4 linked regions of the Notamacropus eugenii genome follow. The protein of the gene in region 3 interacts with the protein of the main gene of each other region in a biochemical or structural test. Links are inferred from orthologs where the notes say so. Each region holds a gene or a part of one and is shown on either strand. Other genes may lie near its edges.

Region 1 (7,408 bases), about 250 Mb from region 3:
ACCTGAGTTCAAATTCAGTTTCCTGTACTAGCTATGTGACATTGGGTAAGCAACTTGGCTTCTCTGGACCTCAATTTCCTCATGTATAAAATGGTAGATTTGGGCTTAGTGGCCTTTAAAGTCATCCAGTACTATGCCTGGAACATAACAGGTGCTTAATAAATGCTTATTAAATGCTTAATAAACATACATAGAGACCCATGACCCCATGATTCTACTCAAGATCATAGATCTGAAGCCTGAGAAAACCTCAGAGGCCACCTTATCTACACTTTACAGATAAGGAAACTGAGGCATGGAACTCTGAGGGTTGGTGGGATTATAGATTTAGAGTTGCTCCCTCTTTTATAAAGTGGCTAAGAGACTGGCTCAGAGTCACATGGCTAGTAAGTATTGTGGGACCTGAATCCAAGTCTTCCTGACTTTGCCAACCTCAAAGAGCTGTATACATACCATCTCTTATTCTTTGGACCCAGAGCTGATCCAGACCTGAATCTGCGTCAAAAGTTGTCTACTTTGCAATTCAACTTCCCATCCCACTTTTCAGATGGGAATTAGTCAGAGGAAGTATTCCCATTGAGGAAACATAGAAGGCAAGCCAAGTAAGAGGATGGGAAAGCATTTGGAAACATCCCGAAATGAGTGCCCTAAAATAGGCATCCTTGGCTACTTTTTGTGTGCTTATTTTTTCCCCCACATCCCTGCCTCCCTCCCCTGTCTCTTTATCTGGCTGCTGAAATTCTTGTGTGTTTCCACTTCCTCATTCATCACTGTTTCTTTGCCTAGGATGAAAACTATGCCTGGAACCTCTCTGTTTCTTTTCTCCAGTCTGGTTCAATTTTTCCTGGCTGCAGAGACTAAGGGAAACCAGGAGAGGGCGACAGCATGGTAGAATAGGAAGAAGCCCAGAAGGGACCTTCTTGACTGCAAGACAACCCACCTCCCACAAGCTCAGTCAGGGTGGGGGCCCACCTGAAGCAGTGAGGTCAAGTCAGGTGAATGGTTCCAGAACTAGTTCTAGTGATGGACAAGTGAAACCTGAGGCCCACTCCCCAACTACATGAGGGAAATCCAAAGAATTGGCCAGTTTCTTTTTTCATCAAACCCATCAGGCAAAATGAGGATTTAAGGGCAATGTCTTCCCAGTCTTGATTTTTCATTTTCACTCTGTCTTGTTTTAATGAGGTCCTGCAAGTTGCCTAATAAATATGGAAATATGTGCCAAGATAGTATTAATTTTGTATTCTAAAACCAAGGTGTTGACACAACATTGGAGTACTGGAATTTCACTTTTGAAAAAGGATTCTTTTACTTATTTGTGATTCATAAGCATCATAGGTTTGGAAGTGAAAAGATCTTTGGATGAGTGTTTTTTCAAGTTCCTCATTTTATAGATGAGGTAACTGAGACGCAGAGAGGTGAAATGATTTTTCTGAGGTCAAAGAGATCATGAGTAACAGGGCTAGGATTTAAACCCTGGTCTTCATATATAGTATAAATTCAGCATTCTTTGCACTGGACCAACTCTCATGATCTCCCATGGATTTAATTATCACTTCTATACTGATGATTCTCAGATCTACCTTTCCTTCCTCAATCTCTCTGCTGACCTCCAATCTTGTATCTTCAACTGACCTTTGGACATCTCAAACTGGATATTCAGTAGACAGCTTAAATAAAACATATTCAAAACCTTGCTCATTATCTTTCCTTCTAAATACTCCCTATCTCCTACCTTCCCAATTACCGTGGAGGGCAACACCACCCTCCCATCCCTCAGGCTTTCACCCTAGGAGTCATCCTGGATTCCTCACTGTCTCTTACCCCCATAACTAAGCTAGTGCCAAGATCTATTGATTTTACCACTGCAACATCTCTAGAATATGTCCCTTTGCATCCACCAACACTGGTGCAGGCCCTCATCACCTCACTCCTTGATTATTGCAACAGCCTATAGGCAGGTTTGCTTGCCTCAAGTCTCTCCCCACTCCAATCCATCCTCCATTCAGCCACCAAAGTGATTTTCCTAAAGTGTGGGTTCAACTATGTCCCTCCCTTACTCAATAAACTCCAGTAGCTCCCTATTGTTCTGCTTGACCTTCAAAGCCCTTTATAACCTAGTCCCCTGTGCCTTTTCAGTCTTCTGAAACTTTAGTGCTTTGTAAACCTTAAAACAAGATACCTTACTCCTCACCATGTACTCTTTGATCCACTGACACTAGAATAGGACATTCCATCACTCAGCTCTGAGAATTGTCTCTAGCTGTCTCCTATGCCTGGAATGCTCTCCCTTTCTCAGTTCCCCCTACTGATTTCCCCAGCTTCAATTCCCTATTAAAATCCCATCTGTTACTGGAAAGCTTTTCCAAACCCTCTTAATACTCGTCTTCCCTCTGTTAATTATTTCTAATTAGACTTGTATCTAGCTTGCTTTTCATATATGTGCTTGCACATCGTCTCTCCTATTACATTGTTAAATCCTTTCGGGCAGGGACTGTCTTGCCTGCCATATAGTAGGTGCTTAATAAATGTTGATTGATTGGCCCATAAAGTTAGATGTAAGTCTTGGAGTCTGGAAGACTGGAGGTAGAATTTGACTAGATATTTCCTAGCTGTGTGACCCTGGACAATTCACTTGACTTAAAGTGAATTGACTCAAATTAAATTCACTCAGTTTCCCTATTTGTTAGCAAGGGATAATAGCATCTTGGGTTGTGAAGATCAAATGAGTTAACATACGTAAAGTGCTTTGTAAACCTTAAAACAAGATACACACGCTATCTATTATTTTGGGATCACTCAACATGATCTTTAGGGTTTTTAATGCAAACTTTTCATTTAGAAGATATAGGTATATGTACATATGTGTTTAAAGTTTTAGTAATGCCTTTTGTTTTTCTATCAGTCATTTCCAGATGTTCCTTACTTCTTCAAAACTGAACCTTTCTTGTAACAGAGAAAAAAGAGTAAGTATTCACAACTGATTCCGTGCAAGGGTATATACAACATTCTGTACCATTGAAGCTCTGGGTGACTCTATCAAACATCTTCCCTCTCCAGTAATTTAATATTTCCTCCAATCCCCTCCATATTGCTCAATTTCGGGGTTTCTTGTGAGTCTGAAGCTAGCCACCTCTGGTTCTTTGGGGTTTGTTCCAGGCAGTTCTCGAAACAGAAATCAGTTCTACAACACCCGGGCAAGGACTCTTCAGCAGAGATGAGCAAACGAGCAAAAGACGATGGGGGAGAGAGTGCTAGTGCACTTTGCCAGTAAGAAGGGCACCTCAGAGGCAGGCATGGTTAGAAACAAGTGCAGCGACTAGCCTTTTCCTTGCTTACATTCCATGCTACCCTGCCTCATCTACAAAGTCCTGGGACACTCATCAACAGCCACGAAAACACTGTCTGTGGCGATTGAGTAACTGAAAGGTTCCAAAGGGCAAAGCCTGGGTTACAGGGGACAGAGTGGTCACACAGAGACACTAGAAGAATTGCTACTGAACTCAAGGGTTTAAAAACTCGAATTCCCAACTCCCCCCAAATGCGTTTCTTGATCAGTTTTTTGATGTCTCGCTAGGATCTCGGATCGAAACTTGGAAAGGCTTTAGAGATGATTTAGTCCAACCCTCGCACTTTAGAAATGAAGGAATCACGGTCCAGACAGATGAGTGGTTGGTGCAAGGTCGCGTTGAAAGATTACACAGCCATGTGAGGATTCGTACTCAGATCTTCAGACTCTACGATCCGGGGCTTTCTCCACTGCTCCGGGAGTTCTTTAAGAAGTCGTTTACCAACATGTGACGCTCATATGAAGCCCATATGGGCTCGCCTTTGGTCCCCAAGGAGAACCACACCCCCGGGGGATGGAGAGAGGAGAGCAGAGCCCAGCCACCCAGCCCGGCCAGGGCCCTGGGCCACCCGGGTCCGCCTAGCCCTAGGGCAGGAGATCAAGGCCAGGGTGTGCACAGTACGTCCGGTTCTCGGCCGGTGGGGCAGATCAGCTGGCTCAGCCCTCCCCCGGGCCAGCCCTGCGCAGTCAGTCCCCACGCCTCCCCGGCTGGCCTCGGGGAGTCAGAGTCCAAGCGGGAAAGGGAGGGGCGGGCTGGGCCGGCTCCCTGACTGGCAGCCGGGTTGGCCACTGGCCAAGGGAGGTGAATCGGCTCAGGGTCGGCGTGCCTGCGCGCTGGATCCTGCCTGCCTGTCCAGCGGCGCAAGGGGACCCCAACCCCGGCCGCCGAGCCTGGCCCAGACTAAACCCATTCCAAATCGTACAGGTACAAGAGAAAGAATAAAAAAAGTTGGAAACAGACGTTGAACGGGGAAGAGGGTGGCGGGGGGGGGGGGGGGGGAGGGGAAGGAAAACTACCAGCCTCTCCGAAGTTGCTGGACCGAGGCATTAGAGGGAGGGGGGAAGTTTGCGCCTGGACTTGAGCGGCGTTAGGACCCAGCGGGAAGAACGTTGGAATCTCCTCCGAAGGGGAGGGGGCAGGGAAGGAGCTAGCGGCTCCAGGGCGCAGGCGCGCGCGTTTACTATCGCCGGTCGTGGAGCTCGGTGGGACGGAATAGAATGAAATGTAACAAAACAAGCCGAGCCTTTGTAGCTGTTTAAAGGGGCCGCGGTCCCTTCCCTCCCGCCTCCCGCCTCCTTCCCCTCCGACGTGCCCTCCACCTAGAGCCGGACTCTGGGCTCCGGGGAAGCTGGTCCAGCCAGGCTAGCCCTTTCTGAAGCCCACCTCGGGAGACAGTGCGACCGAGCAGAGCGCCCGTGAGGAAGACCACCGCGCAGAGAGCCAGGAGGGAGAGAGAGGAGGAAGGCACCAGCCCGAAGTGGGCTGCGCTCCCCGGGCGCCCCGGGCCGGCTGGCGCAGCGTGGATCTCCCGGGACTGGAATGCAAACAAAGCTGGCCGCCGGCAGGGGCGGGAGCCCGGAGGCGCTGAGAAAGTTTGCCTAAGGATGGCTTGAGCTGGGGGAGGGCGAGCCCGCAAAGTTTCTTTCGTAGCTTCTGTCTTTGGGGGTGCCCTCTGGGGACATGCCCCTTCCGCGCCCCAGCTGATCTTCGGGGCGGGGGCTGCTGCTGCTGTCGGGGGCCACCTGTTTCGCATTCCTGTGTATCTGCGGGTCCGCTCGCGTGTGCGTGTGCACTCGAGTGTGGGTCGGGGGTCTGGAGGCGCCACGCGCGTGGCCAGCACCATGTCGAAAGTCATCCAGAAGAAGAATCACTGGACCACCAAGGTGCATCAGTGCACCCTGAGCCGGGGACCCCAGGGCGAACTGGGGCTGACCGTCCTGGGGGGAGCCGAGTACGGCGAGTTCCCCTACGTGGGCTCCGTGGAGCCGGACGGGGAGCTGGGGCTTGCCAGCGGCGGCGAGGGCACCAGTCTCAGCGAGGGCGAGCTGCTGCTGGAGGTGCACGGGGTTCGCGTGTCTGGCTTGCCCCGCTACGACGTGTTGGGAGTTATCCAGAGCTGCAAGGAGTCCGTCACCTTCAAGGCCGTCAGACCAGGTGAGAAGGAGGGGCCGCGGCTGATGGTGGTGTTATGAGCACACCCCCCCTTCGCCATCCCCTACCTTGGGGAAGCGGACGTGGGACCGCAAGCCCCTCCCTCCCCTAGGGGTGCCTCACACCTCTGTCTACCCTCTCTGCCCAGGGGGAAGAGAAGTGGAGTCTGACACCCTCCAGTACATCCGAGAAATCTCAAGTTGTCCCCAAGGCCTTAGGGGGGCCGTACTCCGCCTGAAAAAACTTTGCGGGGCTTGGCAGATGAGCTTGACTGGGTGACGGCGTTATTATGCCCAAGGTCCAAGTTAGCAGCAAGGTGCCCCTCAGCCTTGGCGGGGGGAAGCTAGGTAGGGATGCTGAGACTAATGTACGTGATTCCCAGCAAAAAGTAGAATGGAGGGGAGGCGATCTCCCTTTCCTCCCCCACCCCCATATACGTGGTCAGAATTGAAGGTGTGTGGGAGGTACCATATGCCTGTCCATCATCATCTTCACTCCCCTTCCCCTCCTTTCTGTCTCTCTGTGTCTTGACTGCCCAATCTAGAGTCCCAGTATTGGGTGAGGGGTAGTTTAACTTCTCTTTTTATCCAGTCTCTCCCTCCCCATCCCCCTTCGCATCCCATCCCCTCATCACAGGACTGTGACCCATAGTCCTGTTAGACCATTTTTTGTTGGCCCCAAACATCCCTTCACATTACGGATTTCTCCAAAGTGGGATAGGTTTTCAGGTGTTTCCCAATTCTTATCTTCGATTATTTCTCTTTGGCACAAGCATTTTAAGTCAAAGCCCAAGGATCTTGTCTCTAAGCAGAAGTGATGATTGAGAGAGACTTTGTGTGTGTTTTTGGGTAGATCAAGTGAAGGTGGTTTGATGGAGAATGTTAGTGACCCTTTGAAAGGTTGGAAAAGGGGATCATAGCACCTGCTGAAGGAGAAGGAGGAATGCCCTCTGTCTGCCCCTGAGTCAGCTTTTAAAGGAGCCCTGTTCTCCACTCATTAAGGAATGACATTAAATTGCTTAAAAGGGGCCCAGCCTCAGGACTTGGTGTTCAGTTTTTGGAGTTGGGGAAAAGCCATAATCTACAGAAACTCTTGGTCTCAGAGGGGCATGACTGTGTAACTCTGAAAGGCAGCCAGCCACCATACTCCCTTGGGATGAACCGCCCAAGGAGGTTGGATTCTACTGACCGTGATGAAAACTTCCCCCTTGTAGATGACAGCCTGCTTGGAAAGGGAAGGCAGGTTGCAGAGCTGTCTGGAATGTATGCAAGGAAGGAGGAATCTGGGCTGGGATGGGCAATTCCTCTTCTCTTTGAAAGAGGGTTTATCCAGATGAAGGGAGTGGCTGTGGAGGGATCTTTGCTGCCTATTTTCCTCCGATTTTTGAGAGAAAATCCTGCTATGCATAAAGACCACTCCCTTCTCCATCCCCTCCCCCCATCTATGCCTCTGTATGACCCCCTGGAGACTTGATTAAAACAGATTTTCTTACTTTCAGAGACACAACAAGCATTGAATGCCAGGAAACTGTTCCTTACATCAATTATCCACGTTATTAGGGCTAGAGAAAGTTTTGAAGGAAGGGCTTAAATAACTGCGTTTAACTGATACCTGTAGGTCTAAATGACTGGAATCAACTGCTTGAAGGTGATTGGGTTAAAGGGAAAAGTGAACTCCCTCTTTGACCTAGCTGGCTTGGGAACCCCAGCTCCAGATCTCCTCCTCACTTTGTAAGTTGCTGAGTCAGTCTTTGTGGGCTTTCACAGATGCCCTGGAGGCAGAATCCTCCTCAGGGCCTTTCTCCCCATCCTGGAATGTTTCAGGGGGATGGCAATTGGCTGTCACTGGAGATTGCCAAAGGAAAGGTGGATCTAGAGCTATTTCTGAAGTTTGCCTAGGTCACTTCC
Region 2 (7,263 bases), on a different chromosome or scaffold from region 3:
AAGCTTGCAGGAGAGAAGCCTTGGAGACAAATCTAGGCGACAGATCTCAAGGCTCCCAGAAGAGCAACATCTGCACTGGTGGGTGCTGTGGCTCAGTCCCAGCTCTCCCACCATCCCAAGATCCCAGAGAGAAGAGAACTGAGTGGGGGGCGGGGGGAGCAAAGCATGAATAAAAAAGCTAGCTGGGCATGGGAGGGCTGCTATAGCTGAGGCACAAGGGTGAGCCATGGGCAGTATACTGGAGAGTGAGTTGGGAACGAGATGGGCCTGGGGCTGGAAACTTGGGGGAGGGACCAAAGAAAGAGCTTTGGTTTGGCTCTAGGAAGAGCTGAACTCCCCAGCAAGTGAGAATTTTCAGAACTAGATCTGCCAGCTCCTATGATGACCCTGACCCCCAGCTCCAAGATGTTTCAGGGGAGGAGAGAGGTCCTCCACGCTGGACTAGCCCAGAAAAGTTGGCCTGACCCAGAGCTATCTCCTCTGTACATTCAAACCACTTCTCTGTTTCTAAAGGGAGAGAGAACTGTTCAGAGGGAGATTTGGGGGTCTGGTTAAAGCCCCCCAGATGCCTCTAGGACCTGGGAACAACCTCTTAGGAGTGGCTGCTCACTTTTCCTTGGGGCTAGCCAGGGAACTCAGTCAGATTTGGGAAGTACCGCTCCAGGTTCCCCAGAAGACTCATTAGGAAATGCTTGGATCCCAGAGCTGGTCAGGGGCAAAGATCCCCTTTGCCTGCCTCCTCCCCCCAGTCCTGGAGGGAGAGAAGGGGTGCTGTTAGCATCTTGGGGAGTCTCTTAGAATGTAAGGAACAAACAGGTGAGGTCATCTTCCTCCCTATGGTTACAGTTATAGGACTCAGTCTGGACATTATGGAGAAGGGAATAAATGAGATGTATCAGGAATGACTGAGGCCAGACTTCAAGCCAACAGACCTGGTTGGAATTCCACCTCGAACCCTTCCTAGCTTCCTGATACATCCAATGGGGCTAACCCCCTCCCAGAGCTTCTGGAGATTAGGATGCTCTCCTAGGCCACCTCCCAGGCCAATGAAGGACTCGGAATTAGGTAGGAAATGAGCTCTAGTCCTGCCAACACCAGATATTTTCTGGGTGACTTTCTGCAGGTCCTTTCCCTGCTCCGGGTCTCACTTTCCCCCTCTGTAAAATGAAGCAGGCAGAGTCCTAAGAATCTGTAGGTCTGTCTCAACACCAGCAAGTTATGCTCTACTCAGATTAAGGGTCCCAACCTCCAACTGCAGAAAGACAGACCTCCTGACAAGGTTAAGAGGCCCCACAAGCCTGCAGGTGGTCTGTTTGTTGCTAGGCAACCAGCCAGGCCTAAGCCAGAGCTGAAGGGGGTGGGGGGAAGTTCAGTGGGATTTTACCACCCCCTCTCTCCCCAGACACATTGGAACCCTAGGCCTCTGGAAGGGGAGGTGAGTGGGTGTTAATGGTGCCCCCATCTGTTGGCTGATGCCTAAAGTTTCATGCTCAGCTCATGCTGGAAAGGAAATGGAAGCTCCAGCCCTTTGCATACAGAGCTCCTAACTTAGCTGAGGCCTACTTTCCATTTTCCTTAAACTACAATTCGGACACTCTGGGGGGAAGGGCCTGTGGCAAAGAGGTTGATGGGAATGAAGTCCTGATGGGAACCTGAGGGGAGCTCTGTGCCTGCTGGGCATCCCTGCTGACAGGCCACAAGGGCCTGGAGACCTACCTATTGGGGCACCTGCTGTAGCATCATGGAATTGAGGCACCGGGACCTCAGGCTCATCCCAGGTCCCTCCCGCTTCCTTACTGTCCCTGGTCATTCTCCCTCCCCCCTCATGGCTACCACCCACCATCATCCGCACCTTGTGCCTGGACCAGGGGTGGGGAACCTTTGGCTTTGAGGTCCCATGTAGCCCGCAGCCAAAAAGCCACACCTGAGGACCTAGAAGGCCATCTCAGTTTCTCCACCTCTGGCTGGGACTGTGGCAGCAGCCTCCTTCCTGGTTGGGCTCACTGCCTTCAGTCCTTCCCTTCCACAGCTGCACAGCTGCATGAATCATCTTCCTAAAGCCCAGTTCTGCCCATGCTCATGCTCCTGGGAAGCTTTACTGGTTCCCCATTATTGCCTCTAGGAGAAAATGCACCTTCCCCACGCAGGCATTTAAAGCCTTTTACAATATGGCTTCTAATGGTAGAGCCTTATTGCCCTTTCTCCTCCCCCTCCCCCCTTAACCCTGTGGTCCAGCCAAACTGACCTTCTCACTGTTGCTCACATGACACACTATCTCTTGCCTCTGGATCTTTGCCCAGGCTGTTCCCCTTACCTGGAATGCCCTTCCTCCTTCTCTGTGCCTCTGAGAATCTCTGAACTCTTGCAAAATTGAGCTCAGGTGCCTCCTTCTATGGAAAGTGTCTCCTAAATCCCTTAGTGCTCTCTCTCTCTATCTCACTAACTTGTTTTGTGTTTGCACTTTGCATTCCACAGTAGAAGGTGGCTGCCTGGGAAGGCCTTTTTTTCCCAACCTTATCTCTACTGCACAGCGGATAATCCATGTCTGTTGAATTGAATTGAGAAGGTGCTGAGACATCAGAGCCTTCTAGCAATGGCCAAGTCATCTCCCCTTCATCAGTCGAGGAGGCCGAACTCCAGTGTTTCTAGGGCCTCTTCCAGCTGTGATTCTGTGACTTCAGCCTTCTCCCTCCTGATCTCTGGTCCCTTCTGCTGGCAGCTTCTCCCCATCTCACTCCTCCTAAGTTTCTCTTAAGAGCAGAAGGTTCTGGGCTGAGGATATCCCCCAAACTGAACTGTTTCCGGCCCTGGCCCTGGGGCCTTCACTCTGGACTCCACATATGCCAGGTGCCTGGGTGTTAGGTGAGGAGCTGCTCCCAAGGGCTCCAGAAAGGGCTTCCCCCTTCCAGGCTTCTGAAGTAGAGTATCTGTTGCAGCCCCTGTCTGGGTCCACAGTATCTCCAAAGGGCATGACATGGAGACAGATCCTAGTTTCATGTGGCCCTGAAACTGATCTGGGTTGGAGCTCAGCAACTGCTCTATTAATAGCCCCCAGCCCAGCCCGCTAGCCCCAGCCCCGGATGCCAGGAGTTGTGAGTCAGCAGCTAAAAATAATGGAGCAGGAAAACTCGAACCCCAGTGAGCCAGCCCTCCCTGGGGCTTAGGACTGGGGACTGCAGGTCTGTAAGCCTTAGAGCTGTAAGGATGAGGATGCAAGAAGCTAAGGTGCGAAGTGGGGGAGAGAGCAGCTTGTTTGGGTGATAGGAACTCTGATTTATCACTGGGGGGCTGGGAGACAAAATGGAGACAGATGTATGGAAAAGATTGGGTTAAAAAACCAAAACAGAACAAGCCCTTCCCCAGCCTGGGACCTGCCCAGTCCCTCCCATCAAACACAGTTTATCTTCCCATCACTGTATCCAGAGCTACAGGACAGGCTACTCCTCTGTGGGGAGCTTCCCTCCATATCTAATTTCTTTAAGTGAGGGAGGGACAAAGGGAGGAAAAGAGCTGGGAGTCTCTTGAGCAAATTCAAACATTCCCCCGCCAGTCAAGATGCAGCCTGGGCTGTAATCCCTGCATCCTGTTGCTGTGGCCACAGGCAGGTGCCTTCCATTGAAAATGTGGGCCTATGGGTACCAGTGCTTCAGAGGACCTCCCAACCACAGAATCCAAGTGCCCTAGTCAATAGCTTGTCCCCCCTCCCCCAGCTAAGCCAGACAGGAGCTATGGACTTAGTAAAGGAACATGAACCCAGCCAGCTTGGAGGGGGCCTGAGAGGGCCTCCTCCTCAGCTCTCTGGTTCCCCATCTGCAGCCCAGTGAAAACTTGTTCTGCTTTTCTTGGCTGAGCAGTGTCGGAAGGAGCCAAGTTCTGGAGTATTTGGAGGCAGAGGACATGGGAAGGAGTACCTTAAACAAGGGATTCTTGGTCCTCTTCAGAGCCCCAGTTTCTCCATCTATAAAGAAGAGTTTGGACGACAAGTGGTCTCTGTAACAGATGGGGAAACTGAGGCTCCAAGGGGTTATGTGACTTGGCCAAGGTCTCACAGTATCAGCGCTGAGATTTGAACCCAAGGCCTCTGGCTCCAAAACCTGTGCCTCTCTCTGACGAGGAGTCGCTTTCTCGCTGAACCTCGGTTCGTTTCAGGGGTCTCTAATGTCCTTCTTAGCTCTGCCCCTGATATGATCCGCGAGAGGCCAGGAGCGGCAGAATCAGGGTGGGGGGCGGCCTCTGGAGCCAGGGCTCCCCAAGGTTCTGGTCCTCAGGAGCTGTGAGCACTAGGTGGTGCTGTTGGGCAGCTAGCGGCAGTGATGGTCCCTGTCCCCACCCCCTATATCCCTGAAGGCAAACGAGCAGAGCCGATGTGGGGGATTGGAGGATTCGATTCATTGACTGACAGAAAGAGCCAGAAAGTGCGCTGTCCTCACCATCCCAAGAGCGCGCGGGATGCAGGCTAGCCTTGGAACATTCCAGTTATCGAGGAATGGCCAGAGTGGTACCCAATTTCCCACTAGAAGCGGCAGCATCTTGGAGTCAGAGGCCAGTGGAGGTTCCAGAAGGGGGTGGGGTTGGAGGTAACAGGGGCATCTCACTCATTCCAGCCTGAGGTTGATCTTGGTCAGCAGCACAGCACTCTCTGAGACTGGAGGAACACACCAGGCATGAGAGTGGATGTGGGAGGGAGTGGTGGTGGCAGGGGCAACAGGGAGGCCAAGGAACCAAGACCCAACATGAGGAGCACTGTACCTCTTACCAGGTTTCTCTTGCTCCCTGGCACATTTCCTTTAGGGAGGAAAGGAGCATACCATCAATCCAGGTAGCTTGAGCTCCCCTTTCCCTCAAACACTCCCAGTTTGGGGGCCACCCAATAATGTGGCCAAGGACCTATTGGACTCCAAGCCCTGGTGGCACCTAGTGCCATGACACCACAGGGAGGGGAGGGGATGCAGAAAAGGCACTTACCCCTGGAGGAGGAAGATCCAGAGGAGTAGCAGGGCAGATACACAGTCTGCCACAATCCAGATCAGTAGGTAGGTCTGGGGGCGCTGTAGAGACATTTATGAGTGAACCTTCCCCTGACATACTTCACTTTATGTGAGGGGGCAGGGGTGGGAGAGTAAGAGTTAGGGGTTAAGGGAAGGTCCAGATGGTAGCGGAGGGGGCAGGTAGAGAGGGAGGGAAACCAACAGTCCTTACAATGAGCCAGACAGGATGGGGCAGCTGCTGCAGCAGCTGGCAGGCATTGGTGGTGACTGAGGCAGCCCCAGCACACCAGAGAAGGGAGAAGAGCCAAGGCTTGTTCACCACAAACAGGTTCACAGAAATGTTGTCATGCTGCAGGAGCCTGTGAGTGATAGAGAAAGAAAAGGTTCCCACAGAAATGGATCATGGGTCACAGACTCCATGGTGCCTCCAGGCTCATCCCTTCTCCCTGCACAAGTGACTAGCAACCTCTCCTCAGACCCACCATCTTCACAGCAGAACTCAGGAACTGTCCCTCCAAGCCCACTCCCTCCTCCTGAATCCTCCCATGGCTTCCCAGCACTACCAATCATTCCCTCAAGCCCCTCTCAACATTAAATTGGTCACCAATTCCCATCCAGTTTTACCTCATAATATCTCTTCTGTCCTCTCCTTTTTGCTCCCACCTTAGTCTGGAACCCCATGACCTCTCACTGAAGCACTGCAGTGTTCTACTACTCAGACTCTAGCCTCTGGTCTCTGCCTCTTCAATCCAAGATGTCACATGAATCTTGCTACATTTCATTCCTTTTCTCCAAAGCTTTCAATGATTCCCCATCTGCCTTCATCAACAATCTGGTCACATATCTACCTTTCAAGCCTCCTAGATCCCTTACAAAAACCCTTTTAGACCAGTGCCTATTATGGGCATGGCATTGTAAAGTCCAGAGAAGGCTGAGATGGGGATACAGCCTGGACACTGATAAGTCAGTCCAGGGTGATTTCAAGGACAGAGTACTGACAACTAAAGAGAAGCAGGATGGGCTGACTGGAAGACGTGGCACAGATGATAAGCCTTGAAGGAAGCCAAGGATTCTGAGAGGCAGAGCTGGCGAGTGAGGGCATTCCAGGCATAAAGCACGATCTGTGCAAAAGTGTGGAGGCAGAAGCTAGCGTTTACTAAGAGAGCAACATGAATTGTGACTGCACAGGATGGGAAGGGCTTTCATGGCCAGGCTGAACGGTTTGCAATGTACCCAGTCACACACCAACACACCAGGCCACCTATCAAGGCACCCTGCCATCTACCAATGCATCCTAAAGGCAATGGGAAGTCATCTCAGCAAGACTGGCCAGCTTTGGAAAGATGTATTAGAGAGAGATGAGACTGGAAGTCAGAGCATCTTGCCCTAGTCCAGAGGCTGAATGAGGGAAGTAGCGGCAGGGGGAGGGTGTCAGAAGAAGCTGCCAAATAGAAGGAATGTTGGGAAGGAAGAATTGAGAGGATGTGGCAAATAACTGGGAGGTTGGGAATAATTGAGATGAAGGAATTACAGGCTTTGAGCCTGATCAACTGGAAACGGGGAAGCCCCGGGAAGGATCTTCAGTTCAGGGTGAGGACACAGAGCCAGGAATGGTCAGCAGGAAACTGTGTATTCAGGACTGCAAGTCAGGAGAGAGATTAGCTATGGGTCGAGAAATTCGGGAGTCATCTGCATTGGGACAAGAAATAGTTAAACCCACGGGAAATGATGAGATTGGCAAACCTGGCACCATCCACACGAAGGGGGAAGGAAGGAATCAATCACCCAACAAAGACCACTGAGAACTGAAAGAGAGGTGCCAGAAAGCAGGTCTAGGAGAAGAGCACAGCCACCTGGCCATTGGAGTCACACTGCAAATGTCTGAATGCTAATAAGGAAGTGGAGGCAAAGAGTATAGACCACTCTGTCCCAGGGGGCAACTGTGAAAGGGGAGAGAGATATTGGAGGAGAGCTTGAGGGGATGGAAGGGCAAGTGAATTTGTTTGTTGGATGTGTGAGAGTTGAGCGTGCTGTTAGTGGGCAAGGAAAGCCACGGAGAGGGAGTGATGGAAGATGAGAGAACAGTGTCACATAAAGTAAAATGGTGGCCTTGATCTCTTTTGCTTGTCTCATCTATAAAATGAGCTGGAGAAGGAAATGGCAAAGCACTCCTGTATGGGAGAAGGAGCTGCCCAGCTCCAGAGGCAGGGACAGCCTTACTTAGATGATCATTTATCTTGTCATCACTGTGCACATCTCTCTCCAGCTCTTCTTA
Region 3 (7,700 bases):
AGTGAGGTAACGCCCATTCAGTGAATAGGCCTCCATAAGAAGTAGTCAGGGAATTGCCCTTTCAATGAACAAAAGAAAAAATATAACTAAATCAAACTGGGAGGGAAAGAGCAACAGTTACCATTGATAATCACTCTTTAGACCAGTAAACAGCCATTAAGTGGAGTTTGGGAAGGGACCTACTGTTGTCCAATCTATAGCTTCAAAGTGCACAGGGTTTAAGGTTTTGGGAAAGACAAGAAAGACAGAAAGAAAATAAAACCCAGCAGGAAGACACAGAAAGAGAAATTTCATTTAAAATAACTGCAGACAATATAAAATATGTGGGACTCTACATGCCAAAACAAACACAGGAACTATAGGAACACGATTATGAAACATTTTTCAGACAAAGTCAGATCTAAACATGGAGAAATACTAACTAAAACAAACAAATAAATAATTTATTATTAATATTAAATATCAAATTCATGTTATGAAATATTAAAACTTTAAAAATGGTCAAAATATAGCTATAAATATATTAATATATTAAATTAACAAATATCAAATAAGTAATAAAATAAATAAAAATTAATTATTAAAAATGGGGAAATTTTAATTGCTCATGAGCAGGCCAAGCCAAAAAAATATATATATATATGAGTGTCAATTTTACCTATTATTTAGCATCATACCAAACTACCAAAGAATTATTTTATAGAGTTAGAAGACAATAATAAAATTCAACTGAATGAACAAAAGTTAAAAATATCAAGGGAATCAATGAAAAAAATATTAAGGAAGGTGGCCTAACAGTACCAGATTTCAAACTACATTACAAGGCAGTAGTTATCAAAACAATTTGGTACTTAGCTAAGAAAAAAAGTGGTTGGGTACAACATACAGTAGTAAATAACTATGGTAATCTTGTTGAGTCAAGCCTTACTCTTCATGACCCCCCATGTGGTTTTCTTGGCAAAGACAATGAAGAGGTTTGCCATTTCCTTTTCCAGTGAATTAAGTCAAACAAAGGTTAAGTGACTTGCCTAGGGTCACACAGCTAATGAGTATCAGAAGCCACATAACTCAGTTCTTCCTGAGCTGCTTCCTAGTTGCTTCCCCTATAGTAATCTAGTGCATGATAAACCCAAAGATCCAAGCTTTGGGGGCAAGAACTCACTCTGATAAAAATTGCTGGGAAAACTGAAAAGCAGTTTAGCAGAAACTAGGCAGAGACTAACTTTTCACACTGTATACCAAGAAAAGGTCAAAATGGGTAGATGATTTAAACATAAAAGATGATATCCCAAGTAAATTAGTGGAGCATGGAAAATTTTACCTGTCAGATCTACGGATAAAGGAACAGTTTGAAGATCACAAGCCATAAAGAGGATAATTATGAGTACATCATGGTAAAAAGGTTTTGCCAAAATTAGAAGAAAAACATGAAACTGGGGGAAAATTTTTTTTTGCAGTAAGTTTCTCTGATAAATGTCTCATTTCTCAAATAAATAGGGAACTGAGCCAAATTTTTAATAAGAGCAATTAGTTTTCCAATTGATAAATAGTCAAAGGATATGTGCAGGTAGTTTTCAGAAGAAATCAACTCTGTTAATAGTTATATAAAAATGGTCTGAGTCATTAAGGTTTAGAGAAATGCAAATTAAAACAACTCTGATGTATGACCTTACATCTATCAAAGTGATTAACATGGGAGAAGAGGAAAATGACAAATGCTGGAAGGGATGTGGAAAAATAGGGACACAGGCACTGTTGGCGGATTAATGTGAAGTGGTATAACCATTCTGGAGAACAACCTGGAACTATGTCCAAACTATACATATCCTTTGACCCAGCAACCCATTACTAGGTCTACAGACCAAGAAAAGTAAAGAGGAAAGGGTTTATATGTACAAAAATATTTACAGCAATTCTTTTTTTTTTTGGTGGCAAAGAACTGGAAACTGAGGGAATGTTCACCAACTGGGGAATGGCTGAATGAATTGTGGTATATGATTATGACTGGAGTGCTACTGTGCTATAAGAAATGATGAGGGGGATGGTTCAGAAAAACCTGGGAAGACTCCTATGAACTGATGCAAAGTGAAGTCAGCAGAACCAGGAAAGCACTGTACATGGCAACATTTTAACAACCGCCAACTGTAAAGAACTTGGTTCCTCTGATCAAAATACTGATTCAAGACAATTCCAAAGGCCTCCCTCCTGCTGAAAAACTCTACCTCCAGGGAGGTGCACGGTGAAGCATACTTTTCTCATCTCTATTTCTCTTGCTTTTTTTTGCAACATGGTTAATATGTAAATATATTGTGCATGATTTCACTGTGTATAAGTGAACATTGCTGACCTTCCCAATGACTGGGGGAGGGACAAGAGCAAGGTGGGGGTTTGGAATCCAAAATTTAAAAAAATGAATGTTAAAGTGTAATATATAAAAAGGGGGTACTGGATCAGATACAAACATGTAAGGTTCTATTCTGCACCAAATCTTCTATTTCGTAAGATCACTGGATCAGAGATGGAAGGAACCTCAGAGGTCAAGTCCAACCTTTCATTTTACATATGAGAAAACTGAGGCTGAGAAAAGCTTAAGTGACTTGCCAAGCAAGGATCTAAGGCAGACTCCAAACCCAGGTCCGGACAATGCCCGGCTGGGCACGTAGGGTGCCTCTGCCAAGGGCTCCTTCCACTCTTTGGGGTGGGTGGGTGCCTGCTGACCCTCAGGCCCCCCAGGCAGGCGAGGAGGGGGAGGGGCCCGGCCTAAACGTAAGCAAGCCTCCCCCCAGCCCCGCTCGGCCCGAGGCCCCCCTCCACCGTCCACCCCAGACGCTCCTCCAACGCACGCACCTTCTCCGCGGGTCAGGCCCGGACGCGGGATCGTCCAGCCGGGCCTCCGGCTCGTCGGCGCTATTCGTGCGGGATGCGGCGGCTCGGCTGCCGCGCCTCCGAGGCGGGCGCTGCTCGGGCTCCGGGGCCGGGCTCTCCGCTGCCGCCGTCGGCTCCACCTCCATGGCCGTGGAAGAAGGATGGGAGGTTACAGGAAAGATCTCGGCGCCGCGGCTCCCCAGGGCTGGGCCGAGGAGAAGAAAATAGGGCCCGGCCTGACGCCTCCGCGGAGGGAAAGGGGTTTGTGTCAGGAAGGAGCCACCATAGCCAACATTACGGGGTTTGAAAAATGGCGGCAGGGCAGAAGCCGGCAAATCAGCGAGGCTCCGGAAGGCGTTGCTAGGAGACGCAGGAGAGCCCGCCTCCTGCGGGGCCGAGTGTAACCGGGGGCGCCGCCGCTGCTCCTCCAAGGAACCCTCCAAGTGGGGGGAGGGGAGCGGCCGGAAAGAGAGGGGAAGGGAAACGGAGGAGGGAGAGCTGGGCGCAATTAACTATTTCCTATAAAAAAATTTAAAGGGCTGACCGCGGGTACGTCATCCATCCTCATGGAATGGACTCCTCATTCATCCCCAGCTCCTCCGGGAATTTCCGAGCTGGAGGCCATCTCGGCGGCCGTGTAGTTAAATCCGGACCTAAACTAGAACTTCTGCCCAGGAAAAACGATCATCTGGGCTTTGATGAACTCCGGCGAGCCGGGAGCCGCCGCCTCCGAGGCAGCTCTTGGCACTTGGGGATAACTGGTTGTTACCTTACGTGCAGATGACGTTTGGTATGGTGACAAGATCTCAGCTGGGGAGTCAGGGAAACGGGGTTCACATTGGTACTGGACCCCTTCGCGTCCCCGCCTGGCAGCACCCAGCCCCGAGGGTCAGTTTCAGAAGAAACTGACACGAGGACGGGGGGGAGGAGCTTAAGTCACAAATCCGGGGGCTCCAGGATCACGTCTGACATCCTCTGACTTTAAAACCCCTCACCACCTAGCCCTTTACTACTTTTCTAATCCTACTTTTTTAAAAAATGTGTTTACACATCGTGTAAAATTCTCTGCTGCCTACCATCCCAGAGAACCAACCTCACTTTTTATTTTATTAGAAGACTCTGCCCCTACACAGAGTTTTAAAGTTTTTTTAATTTTAATTCTGAAATGTAATGCTCGTCTCCAGCAAAACAAAAAGAGCCACTAGAAAAAGATTTATACATATGGGACTTTTTTTCTTTTGGGGGTGGGGGTAGGGGACCTTTTTGGACGTGGTTCCAAAGTGCTTTCCAGAATGGCTGGAGCAGTTCACTGGTGTACTTGTACCCTTACCCCAGTGTTTGCTTTTCCCCCTTTTTATCACCTTTGCTAGTCTGTGTGTGAGTGAGATGGAACCTCAAAGGTGCTTTAATTAGCACTTCTCTAATTATTAGTGATTTAGAGAATTTTTTCTTAGGGTTCTTGATAGCTTGGATTTCTTCCTTAGAAAACTGCCTGTTCATACATATCCTCTTATCATCTACAAGTTGGACTCTTAGTCTTTATAAATTTGAATCAGTTTCTTATAAATTTTGAATATGAAATCTTTATTAAAGAAACTTAATGCAAAAATTTTTGCCCAGTTACTCATTTCCCTTCTAAGTTTAATTACATTAGATTTATTTGTGCACTAGCTTTTAAACTTTATATAATCAAAATTGCCCATTTTATCTTCATGATAGCTTCCATTTCATAGATCCTAAAGATAACTTTTTCCTTGTTCCTATAATTTATGATGTAATCTTTTTTAAAAAATGTGAATCAAGTATCCATTTTGGTTTTTTTAGGTTTTTTTTTTGTGTTGTTGTTTTTGTTTTTGAATTTTATTTTCAGTTACAAATTCTTTCCTTCCCTTCAGCCCTTCACCCATCCATTGAGAGGGCAAGAAATACAATACTCATTGCACATATGAAATCATGCAAAGCATTTTTGCATTGGCTATATTCCCCATCTCCCCCCAAAGAAAATTTAAAAAGGAGGAAAAAACATGCTTCAATTTGTACTCTCCCAGTCTATCAGTTTTCTAAGTGGAATGGATCCATTGTAGTGGATTATTGTATTGTCCATTTACTAAGTCTAGAAGGAAATGGCAAACCATTCCAGCATTTTTGCCAAGAAAACCCTAAATGATGTCATGCAGAATCAGATACCACTGAACGATAACCACAACAGAGTTGTTTTTTAATGATAGTACAATTTGAGATCTTATACCGGAACTGTGCAACTTGGCAATAGGTAGGGGCCAGAATTAAAATAGGTTAAACTTCTTTGGGCTGCGGAGAGGTTTTTAGTGGCTCACTTTCCAAGTAAAGGTATATAATTAATCATCAAACTATTTCTCAAAAAACATTTTTAAAAACAATCAGGACATAATCCAGAAACTGTAATTAGCAAACACTTTTTGAAATCACCTTCAATAAAAGACTTCCCAGTAGCAGCAATTTCTTTAGAAACCTGAAAACTAACCTTAGTAGCTGCCTCATTTTCTGAGTTTACTTTCTTGAAAAACCACTGTTCTCCGCTGAGATTTTTCAACAATTTGAATGCTTCATTTGTTTTTCTTTGGTGTCCAATTTTCATAAGTCAGGAGGTTTTCATTTTAAATGGTGATGAAGAGTATATTCCTTTGGAATGGCTATTTTCAGCAAACAAGGCACAATATTTTGTCTCTCGTGTAAGTAAACTTGTGTCTATTTGTCCACTCCAGATTAAACACTCTATGTTCTGATTCCATCTTCCATTTCTTTTTATCACCCATTTTACAGTTACCCCAGAAACTTTAATGTTAGAGACAAAAAATCTCCACAGCAACTGCTCACATCCAAAGAAATACTGAACTGAGTGTCTGACCTTGGAGAGAGCACTGGACACTCATGTAACTTGGAGGGTGACTGTGCAGCGAGGGAGGAGAAGAAACCCTTAGGTGGTTGCTGCTCATTGCATAGTGGGCATCAGCTGCATTGGCACATTGCTACTCTCACTTTGTCTCTGTTCAACACCAGTAATGACCAAAAACACAGTGAAAAGATATGACTCTCCTCTCAGACTAGAGACAGATTGACAATGGTTGGTTGTCTTGGGTCATGTAACAGATAAGATGGGAACAACAGTAACTAGTGGAAGGTGGGTTACACTGGGGGAGGGGAGGTAGGTGGGCATGGACAAAGCACTCATTGCATCTTTACTTTCTCTTACAAACTCAACATTTTTCACAGGCCACCTGAAAACTTTTGGTGGGCAGCATGTAGTACTATTTTTACTAATGTCATAATAATTTACTTTTTTTTTTCATTTCTTCCATTTTTTTTCATTATTACTCTTGGGATTCTTGACCATTGAATCCTGCAGATAAATTTCATCATTTTTCTAGCTCTATAAAAAATTTCTTTGGTAGTTTGGGTACAGGACTGAATAAGTAAATCAATTTCTATTTTTATTATATTGGCTAGACTAACTAAGTGCAATGAATATTTCCCCAGTTGTTTATGGTTGTTGATAGCTTAGATTTTTTTTTCCTCCGAAAATTTTTTATTCATATCCTTTGACCATTTATCAATTGAGGAATGGCTCCTTTTTATATATTTATATCAGTTCCCTACATATCTTAGAAATGAGACAATCAGAGAAATATGCTGCAAAGATTTTTTCTCCCAGTTTTCTGATTGTGTTTTAATTTTAACTGAATTGGCCATTTTATGTAATTAAAACTATCCATTTCACCTTCTGTGATTCTCTTTATCCCTTATTTGGTCATGAACTCTTCCCATAGCTATAAATCTGAGAAGTAATTTCTTCCTTGCTCCTCTAAGTTGTTTGTGATGTCACTCTTTACATCTAAGTAATGTAACCATTTGAAGTTTATCTTAGTATAAGGTACGAGATGCTGGTCTATATTTAGGTTCTGTTAGACTGATTGTCAGTTTTCCAAGCAGTTTTTGGTGAATTGTGAGTTCTTTCTCAATGTCTGGGATTTTTGGGTTACTCAATAAGTTTCTGTGTGTGTGTGTGTGTGTGTGTGTGTGTGTGTGTGTGTGTGTGTGTGTATATATATATATATATATATATATATATATGTAGAGAGAGAGAGAGTGTACCTAATCTGTTCCACTGATTGATCTCTCTATTTTTTAATTAGTACCATTTAAAAAAATGTTAATTGCTTTGTAACATAGTTTGAGATGTGATATTGCTAGGTCCTGTTCCTTCCTAATACTTTCTAATTAGTGTCGTTGGGATTCTTTTGTTCCTACAGATGAATTTTGTTATATTTTTTTCTAGCTCTACAAAGTAATCCTCTGGTGGTTTGATTGCAATGGCACTAAGTAAGTAAATTAACTTGTTTTATTGTCATTTTTATTGTTTTAGCTTTGACTAACCCATAGCAATGAATAATTATCTGATTGTTTAGATCTGTATTTATGTAAAAATTGTTTCAGGTTACATTCACATCACTCCTGTATGTGTGTCTTGACAAGTACTTTATAGCTCCTAAAATTATTGTAAATGAAATGTCTCTCTCTTTCTCTTATTTCTGGGCTTTGTTGGTAATATACAGAAATACTAATGTTTTATTTGGGTTTATCTTATATGTGTGATTTTGCTGAAGTTAAATGTTTCAATTAATTAATTTCTTTAGTTGACTCTAGGGTTTTATAAGTAAATCATCATGTTATCTTTAAAAAATTATAATTTTGTCTATCATTATTCCTTCCATTTCTTATTCTTATTTTATTGTAATAAATAGAATTTTATGTACTTTATCAAATAGCAGTGTTATTAATGGACATCCTTGCTTTAA
Region 4 (7,872 bases), on a different chromosome or scaffold from region 3:
AAGAGGCAAGCAAAAGGTTTTCAATGGAGGGGAAAAAGGGGGAGGTGAGAGGGTAAAAGTGAAGTTTTTTTTTAGGAACCCAGTGAAGGGTTGAGTGCAGACTCTTGGATGGCTCCTCCACAGTACAGCCTCACCACAGCACCTAGGCACAGCCCTGGGAGACTTTGGTATCTTTGGCAGGCACTGTACTCTACTTTTTTTATGCTTTAGGAGACCCCAGAGGACTCATTAATAAAGATCGACTAATCAGGAATGTCAAACGCCTGAATTCCACCACAAAAACAATTTCAGGTGGGCAGTAAAAAGCCCTTAGAGGTTTACAACATCTTCTTGGAGTCCAAGGGAGTTGCCAAACTTGACTGTTTTTGAGAGCTGGGGGCCCTGTTATTCATATTACCCACCTCTGGGGAAGCCTTAAAACCAACAGGAGAGAGACGTGGGTTCTGGAGGTTTCCTGAATCCACAATAGGTGGGACCAGCAGGGCAAAGAGAGGAGGGGCCCTATGCAGGCCAGCCCAGGTTTGGGCACCATACACTCTGGGTGTGACGGATCTGAACTTGATTCTCCCTCCTACCAGCAGGTAAGCTTCTTGGGAGCAGCCACTGTATCCCTAGCACCTAACCAAGAGCAAGCACACAGTAGGTGCTTAATAAATGTTTAATTCAATTATCCTGTAATTTTCTGTGGTTTGCTTCTCCCTGATCAGGTCCTAGGCACTTGGTAGAGTGCTTGCTTTCTCAGTTATAGGGAATCCACTTCTATAGCTAATTCTAGCAGTCCCCACCTCTGACAACTAAGTACTGTTAGTCCTGTGTCCCATGAAAAGGAAGGCTTTCCTGCTGAGGGAAACCCCTCAATCTGGAGCCCACAGTCCTCCATCTTCTCCAGCAGACTGCCCCCATCAGCCCTCCTCTCTGGCACCTTTCATGTTCCCGTCCCTGCAGCGGCCTCCTCACCCTGCACGGTCCACCCTTGTCCCTCTGTACCGTCTCCCTAGGTGCCCTCCTCAGCCCTCCTGGGCTCCTACGAAGATGATTCTCAGATACGGAGCTCTGCTCCACCTGATGCCTCTGGGCACCTTGAGCTGGATGTCCATAGACATCTCACCGGCTTTCCTGGACGTGACAGGTCACTGCTAATTCATCCTGAATCCGCAGGCCACAAAAGCCCATCCCATCTTGTTCAGAACAGCTGCCTTTGCATGAGGTCCACTGGCACAGACAGGTCCGAGACTTCACACTGATCTTTACTGCAGTGCATCGACTGAACCTGGCCCAACACTGGGGCCTCTCAAGTCCTTTCGGGCTCGGTTGTCCAGGGTGTCCGCTGTCCCTCCCGGCTGGACGCGAAGAGCCTGCCTTCTGTCCTTTGATCCAAAGAACTGAGAAAAACGGTCCACCAGGGTGAAGGCCTCTTGGCACAGAACCGCCCACTGTCTCAGTTAACCAGTCTGGACCCTTCTGGCTTCTCCACAACAGCAAGGGACGCCCCCGGAAAGCTCTGCTAGGATCCGGTACGTTCCTCTGTCAAGTGAAACGCTCCTCCTTCTCCTCACCCGAATCCCAGGCTGTGCCCTCACTCCTCTGCCCTGCTCGGGGTGGCCTGGAGCCAAAGTCCTGGGTTCCAATCCTGGCGGCCCGCCCCGGCTGAACTGAGTAGTCTTGGGGGGCCCCTGCCTCTAGCAGCTGCAAGCCCTCACTCCGGGAAGGAAGGGGGGTGCCTGGGCAGGTCAGCCTGGAGACGGCTGGGCGGAGCCGGTCCGAAGGCGGCGGCTGAGGTCCACAGGGCGATCCGGCTAGGAGGTGCCCCGGGCTCCCGGTGGCGCCCCAGCTCAGCGGGCTTCGGAAGCCTCCTTACCCCGAACCGCTCCTCACGGCCCTGCCTGCCCCGGGCCGCTCCCGGGCCGCACGCGCTCGGACCCCACCCGAACCGGGGACCGCGGACCCGCACGGGCACGAACGGTGCGTGCCACCCCTCGGCCAAGGCCGCAGCTTCCCGCCTCTCTGCCCATCACCAGGCGAGGAGGGGAGGAGCCCGGGCGGGCAGCAGGGGGCCGAGGGGGGCGGAGGCTGTGGGTCGGGGTCCGGGCGGAGCGGGGCGGAGGCCGGCCCAGACTGACCCCCCCGGGGGAGGGGCTCCGCTGCCCCCTTGCCCCGAAGGCCCCCCCCCCCCCCCGTCCTCCAACTCCAAGAGGGTGCCAGCCTTTGCCACCCCTCCTGCGTGCCAGGCACCGCGCTAAGGGCGTGTCCGTCGTACAGCCCGCAGGAGACCACCCTCCTTTAATCCCAAAGGGGTGCACGGGGCCCCCCCTCCCGCCAGGCCCCCCGCAGCCCCGGGGCGCTCCCTCTCCCCCAGCCCCGACGGCGTCCGCGCCTTTACCTCGGGCGGGGAAGGGGAAAGTTCCGAACTTGGCAACTTTGTAACGAGCGGCGGGGGCGGGGGCGGGGGCGGGCCCTCCCCTCCCCTCCCCTCCCCTCCCCCCTCCCCCGCCCCTCCCCTCCCCCGCCCCTCCCCCACTCACCGAGGAGCGCGTGGAAGAGGCTGCTCTGGAAGATGCCGATGACGCGCTCGAGGGAGCCCCGCAGCGGCCGGTCGTGTGCGGGGCTCAGCTGCGCGCGGTACTCCTGCAGCAGCCGCAGCGCGCGCTCCGTGTCTGCGGGGACAGGGCGGGGGGCAGGCGTCAGCGCGCGGCGGGGCCGCCCCCTCCCCGGCCCCCTCCCCCGCCCCTCCCGCGCCCGCCGGCCTCCCCTCCCCCTCCCCTCCCCCTCCCCTCCGGGCCGCTCACCTCGCTTCCGAACGGGCATGGCTGGCGCGCGTCGGCCCCGCCTCACGCCCGCAGCGCCATCGCCGCCCGCTCCCCGCGCGCTCCCCGCCCGCGCTCCCTCTCTCTGCCTCCGTCTCTCTCCGTCTCTCCCTCGCCGCCGCCGCCGCCTCCCCTTCCTCCTCCCCCTCCTCCTCGGGCTCTCCCCTCAAACTTTCCTCCAAGATGGCGGCCCCCGAGCCGGACGGCCGCGCCCCCACGTGACCGCCTTCCCCCGCGCCGCCAGCCAATGGCAAGTGAGCGGGCGGCGGCGCGCGCCCGAGCGGCCCGAACGCTCGGCAGCCCCGGAGAGGGGGCAGGGGGCGGGGCCCTGGGGGCGGAGACGCTAGGGGGCGGGGCCCGTGGAGGGGCGGGGCGGACACTCCCTCCCCCCCGTGGAGCGGGGCCGACGCGCCTTAAAGGGCCCGCGAGCCACAGGTGGCAGCCCGACCGAGCCGGTCTACGGGCGGGGCCGAGCCGCAGGTGGGCTGGCCACGCCCCGGGGCGGGGCCCGGAGGAGGAGCCGCCGCTGCTCGTGGAGGTGGGGGTGGGGGAGAAACCCCAAAGGAGCGCCCAGGTCTCGGGCCGGAGCCGAGGGGCTGGGGGAAACCGAGGCCCGGGGCCGCCCCGAACCGGGCTTCAAGGGCTGCGGGAAAGCCCCCGAGAACCCCCTCTGTGAAGGACCCGCGGACGACGGACGGACGGACGGACGGGGCTTCTCGCCCGCCCCGCCTCCTCTGGCCGCGCCCCGGGCCCCCTGCTGTGCTTGGACCGTGCGCGCCCCCCCACGTCACGGGAGCCCGAAGCTGGCGGACCCCACGGGGGGCAGGGGAAACTGAGGCACGGAAAAGTCAGCCAGGGTCACGCGCCTGCCGACGTGCGCAGGTGTATGTGTGTGCACGCGTGTGCGTGTAAAGTGCCCCCGGGACCCCCCGGCGCTCCTGGCAGCGCTGAGGTAAATCCGTTACTGCCCGTGACAACCCGGTGAGGTTCGGTCCGGTCCGGTCCCGCCAGCAGGGTCAGGCCCCTGTCGCGATCCTCCCGCAGACGCAGCCCCAGCCCGGCCCTGCGCCCCGCACCTCCGGGGGGTCACTGTGTCCTTGTGACCCCCACTTTCGCATCTACACCATGACAGGGTCGGCCTTGGCGGCTCCGGCCCAATTCCCCGAACCTGTGGCTCTGATCACTTTGTCATGGAAAAAAATTGATCAGACTCTCCCTTAGAAAGTCAGCGGGACTTGGATGGGCAGGGAAGCGGCCAATGAAGGAAAGAGGAGGCCTGCTACGTCACACACCTGTGCGAGGTGTGTGAGGTGGAAGGACAAACGGCCGGAGGGCCCCGAGAACCGCTGTTCGCAGGCCCGGGAATGCAGGAGACTGGGCAGGCGACCCAGCATGGACACGCTCGGTGCCGGCTCGTGAGTGGGCTGTGAGGCGGGCCACCCCTGGGCAGCAGCTCGGAGTCTGGCACCGAAAACAACCAAGCGCCACCCTCCTGACCCAGTGGGCTGTGAGGCGGGCCACCCCTGGGCAGCAGCTCGGAGTCTGGCACCGAAAACAACCAAGCGCCACCCTCCTGACCCAGGAGCCGCGCTGCTAGGCACACCTCAGAGGCAGGCCGCCCGGCCGTGCCCACCCAACGCCTGGAGCAGCCCTTCTCGTGGCGGCCAACCTGGGGGAGGGAGAGGCACATCCTGTGGCTGGAACAGTCCGAGCAAGGCTCCGTGTCCCTGCTTCGCAGCTGCGGAGAGCCAGGCCTCAGGGGCAGGAGCAGGTCCGGAGGAGGCCTGTTGGATCAGTCGCTGGGTCGTCAGAGGCGCTCTACCTAGATGCCCACTGGTGAGGTGGGGTTGTGCTGCGACTGCGAAGAAGGCCAGTCGTGTCCCTGGTTTGTGTAGAACAACCAGGAGGCTCGGAGCACTGCCGCAGAGGAGAGGTGGCAGTCCAGCCTCTCCAGGGAGGGATTCCCTGACTCCTCTCCCCACCCCACCCCCACTTCCCCATTCTTGGAAGGTCGAGGCTTTGGACTCCCAGCAGCGTCCTTGGGACAATCATGGTGGGTATCACTGTCCGCATTGGGAGCTGAGGACAAACTAGACCCATTAAGGAAAGGCAGTCACTTCAAATCTCTGTGAGGATCCCATCAGGCAGCTGCAGGAGACTGAAGGGGAACACTGTGAAGACCAGCAAAAGGGCCTCTGGGAACCCAGAGTGTGAGCCTGCTTTCCCCAGGACGCTGTGTGTCCTTGTGAAATGGGGTGGTGGGTACAACCTTAGTAAATACCCCTATCTAAAGGCTAATTAATCTGATTGACTCATTGACACCAATTGCTAGTCCTAGGCGGAGGTGCAGGGAACTCGAGTAGGAGCTTAGGAGCTAAGTTCTAGGGACCTGACTTAGCAGTGAGAGTTGAAAGCTGAGAGAGTAGCTCACGATCCCCATGGCATGGTGGCATGTGAATGCACCAGAATATTACTTACTGCCCCATTAGAAATGGCAGATATAAAGAATATAGAGAAGGACACAAAAACCTAAGAACGGATACAAAATGAAGAACACCGAACCAGGAAAATGATATACCCAGGACTACAGTAGTGGACATAGAAAGGACAGTGTCGGTGATGGAAACTCACCAACATGGGATCATAATTGAAAATTCATCTTCCTCCCCCTGCTTCCTGTGGGAGGAGGGGGCTGCCTTAGCAATACAGGCTTCTAGACCCTGGGAAGATGATCTGGTAAGGCCCAAAGCCACTGATTGGTGAGTAAATGAATGTCTACTGGCTGGCCCTCTACTTACTGTTTAATCATTCAGTCAGGTCTGACTTTGTGTTTTCTAACTCTCTAGGGTTTTCTTGGCAGAGATACTGAAATGTTTTGTCATTTCCTTCTCCAGTTCATTTCACAGATGAGGAAACCAAGACTTACCCAGGGTCACACAGTTAGTAAGTGTCTGAGGCCAGAGTTAAACTTGTGGAGAATCTTCCTGATTCTAAGCCCAGTGCTCTGTCCACTGCACCACCTGACTGCCCAAGACGCCACCCAGACCATCTTACTCTAATTCCTCACCTCTGGCCACTTCTCCACCACACAGATTGCCTTCTCCTGTTAGAAAATCGGCTCCTTATATTTGTACCTCAAGGACTAATGCGTTTTTCCATTCATTCACGATGGTGTGTTATTTAGTTTTGTTGGATTTTCTTTCATTCTTTGTTATAAGGGACATGGGAATTAAATTGGTGATGAAGATGATATAAAGACAGGAGATCAATACTTTTCTTTTTGAAGCTAGTGGAATTACTTTGGCAGGTGGGAGACTAGGGGAGCCTTATCAGGCATGATTAGGATGTTGCTTTTCCTGGGCTGTTTCCCTGAAAGCCAAGAGGGAGACCCTGGGTTCCAGGAGAAACAATTTCTTCTCAGGTTTTTCTGGGCTTGTTCTGAGGCACTTCCTCCAGAGCGAAGAATAAAACTGGGAACCCTCAATTAGACCTGATAAAACACCGCTAGATTATCGTTAGATCATTTCCCCATCATCACTCATCAACAGCCCTATGAAGTAGGCAATGCTAACATGATTATCCCCATTTTATAGATGCAGAACTGAGGTTCTGAGAGGGGAAATGCCTTTTATCCAGCCAGTCATGCAGCCAGGTCAGGCTGCTGATGGAGACAGGCTGCACTCATCAAAGGAAGCCCTTATTTAGGAGGCTATATAACCCCATGTCCTCAGGCACCCCAGGACAGGACAGGAAATGGTGCTCAGAACATTCTCCCCCATTCCCCCAAAGCAGGACTCCGTCTTATACGTGGCAGCAATCGTCAGTAAGGACTTGGGGCAGCTTTAAAATACTTGTTCCTTGTATTAGGGAATCCAGGATGACAATGAGGATTCAAAAGATCTTTCCATGCTTGAATATTGGGCCAAATCTAATTAAATGAAATGGAATAAGGATAAAGTACATTTAGACTTGAGTTTTAAAAAGTCAGCTCCACAAATGTAAGATGAAGGAGATGTGTGACTAATGGAGCTAGATGGCAATTTATCTGAAAAAGATTTGAGGGTTAGAGTGAACCACAGGCTCAAGGATCAGCAGGGAGTGGTGTGGCAACCCAGAAAGCAAATGCCATCTTGGGCTGCATGAAGAGAGGCACAGTGTCCAGGAACAAAGAGGTGGTGGTACCTCTGTCTTCTGTCCAGCCAAGACTCCATCAGGAATTTTGTTCAGCCATTTCAGGCATGTCCAACTCTTCATCACCCCATTTGGGATTTTCTTGGCAGAGATACCAGAGTGGTTTGTCATTTTCTTCTCCAGCTCATTTCACAGATGAGGAAACTGAGGCAAACAGAGTGAAGTGACTTACCCAGGGACACCCAGCTAGTAAGTGTCTGAGGCCAGATTTGAACTTGGCTCTTCCTGGTTCCCACCCCAAGGCATTCCATCAAGAATTTTAGACTATCCATTTCAGGAAGGTCACCCATAAGCTAGAGAGTGTCCAGAGGAGGGCAACGGGAGAAGAAGGTCCCTGCGTCTATGTTAGATGAGAATTGGTTAAAGCGACTGGGGCATGTTGGTCTTGAAGAGAGTTAGGAGGGATCCGGACCCTGCCTATGTGTGTGAAGGGTGCTCCTGCAGCCACATTAGACACGAGCCCAGAGGGCACAGGGAGTGGACAGAAGCTGAACAGAGGCGGAGCTAGGCAGGCTGGCTCCTCCCTCATCTGAGGACCACCTCCAACAGAGGTTGCTCACTTCTCACCTGTGATCCTGCTTTCTGCAGGTGGGCTAGGTGGCATCGAGAGCCCCTCTAGCCTGGAGCTCCTGGGATCTAGACTACAGGCTAGAAGGAGATGGAATGGACCTCAAAGAACAGGGTGCTGAGTGATGGTGGCAGAGGGAGCATCTGGAGGGGGCAGCAGGAAACAAGGGATACTTAAGAGGGATAGGTGGGGTGTGAAAAAGACCCAGAGATAGAGAGGAAGAAAGGAGACAGAGACAGAGAGATACAAAGAGAGAGAGGAGAGACTGTGCTGGGAGGAGGTGAGAATGGGTGGCCACATTGGTTAAGC

Evidence for each region.
Region 1: the proteins of NET1 (region 3) and MAGI1 form a complex in vitro, tested with the Homo sapiens proteins (3 studies listed by BioGRID and IntAct, with this or other methods). The link is inferred for Notamacropus eugenii from reciprocal best matches to the Homo sapiens genes NET1 and MAGI1.
Region 2: the proteins of NET1 (region 3) and DLG3 interact in a test that uses a peptide from one of them, tested with the Homo sapiens proteins (2 studies listed by IntAct, with this or other methods). The link is inferred for Notamacropus eugenii from reciprocal best matches to the Homo sapiens genes NET1 and DLG3.
Region 4: the proteins of NET1 (region 3) and DLG1 form a complex in vitro, tested with the Homo sapiens proteins (3 studies listed by BioGRID and IntAct, with this or other methods). The link is inferred for Notamacropus eugenii from reciprocal best matches to the Homo sapiens genes NET1 and DLG1.

What each region holds. Positions count from the first base shown.
Region 1 is NC_092874.1:458,065,246-458,072,653, forward strand, and holds the start of MAGI1 (membrane-associated guanylate kinase, WW and PDZ domain-containing protein 1), read left to right. Parts: upstream 1-4,392; 5' UTR 4,393-5,191; coding exon 5,192-5,504; intron 5,505-7,408. UniProt on the Homo sapiens protein: Plays a role in coupling actin fibers to cell junctions in endothelial cells, via its interaction with AMOTL2 and CDH5. May regulate acid-induced ASIC3 currents by modulating its expression at the cell surface.
Region 2 is NC_092879.1:100,486,424-100,493,686, forward strand, and holds the start of DLG3 (disks large homolog 3), read right to left. Parts: upstream 3,018-7,263; 5' UTR 1-3,017. Other genes in the region: glycerophosphoinositol inositolphosphodiesterase GDPD2, read right to left, coding at 4,537-4,645, 4,750-4,785, 4,966-5,048, 5,200-5,347. UniProt on the Homo sapiens protein: Required for learning most likely through its role in synaptic plasticity following NMDA receptor signaling.
Region 3 is NC_092874.1:209,073,497-209,081,196, reverse strand, and holds the start of NET1 (neuroepithelial cell-transforming gene 1 protein), read right to left. Parts: upstream 3,012-7,700; coding exon 2,848-3,011; intron 1-2,847. UniProt on the Homo sapiens protein: Acts as a guanine nucleotide exchange factor (GEF) for RhoA GTPase. May be involved in activation of the SAPK/JNK pathway Stimulates genotoxic stress-induced RHOB activity in breast cancer cells leading to their cell death.
Region 4 is NC_092877.1:387,070,963-387,078,834, reverse strand, and holds the start of DLG1 (disks large homolog 1), read right to left. Parts: upstream 3,017-7,872; 5' UTR 2,806-3,016; coding exon 2,787-2,805; intron 2,655-2,786; coding exon 2,523-2,654; intron 1-2,522. UniProt on the Homo sapiens protein: Essential multidomain scaffolding protein required for normal development. Recruits channels, receptors and signaling molecules to discrete plasma membrane domains in polarized cells.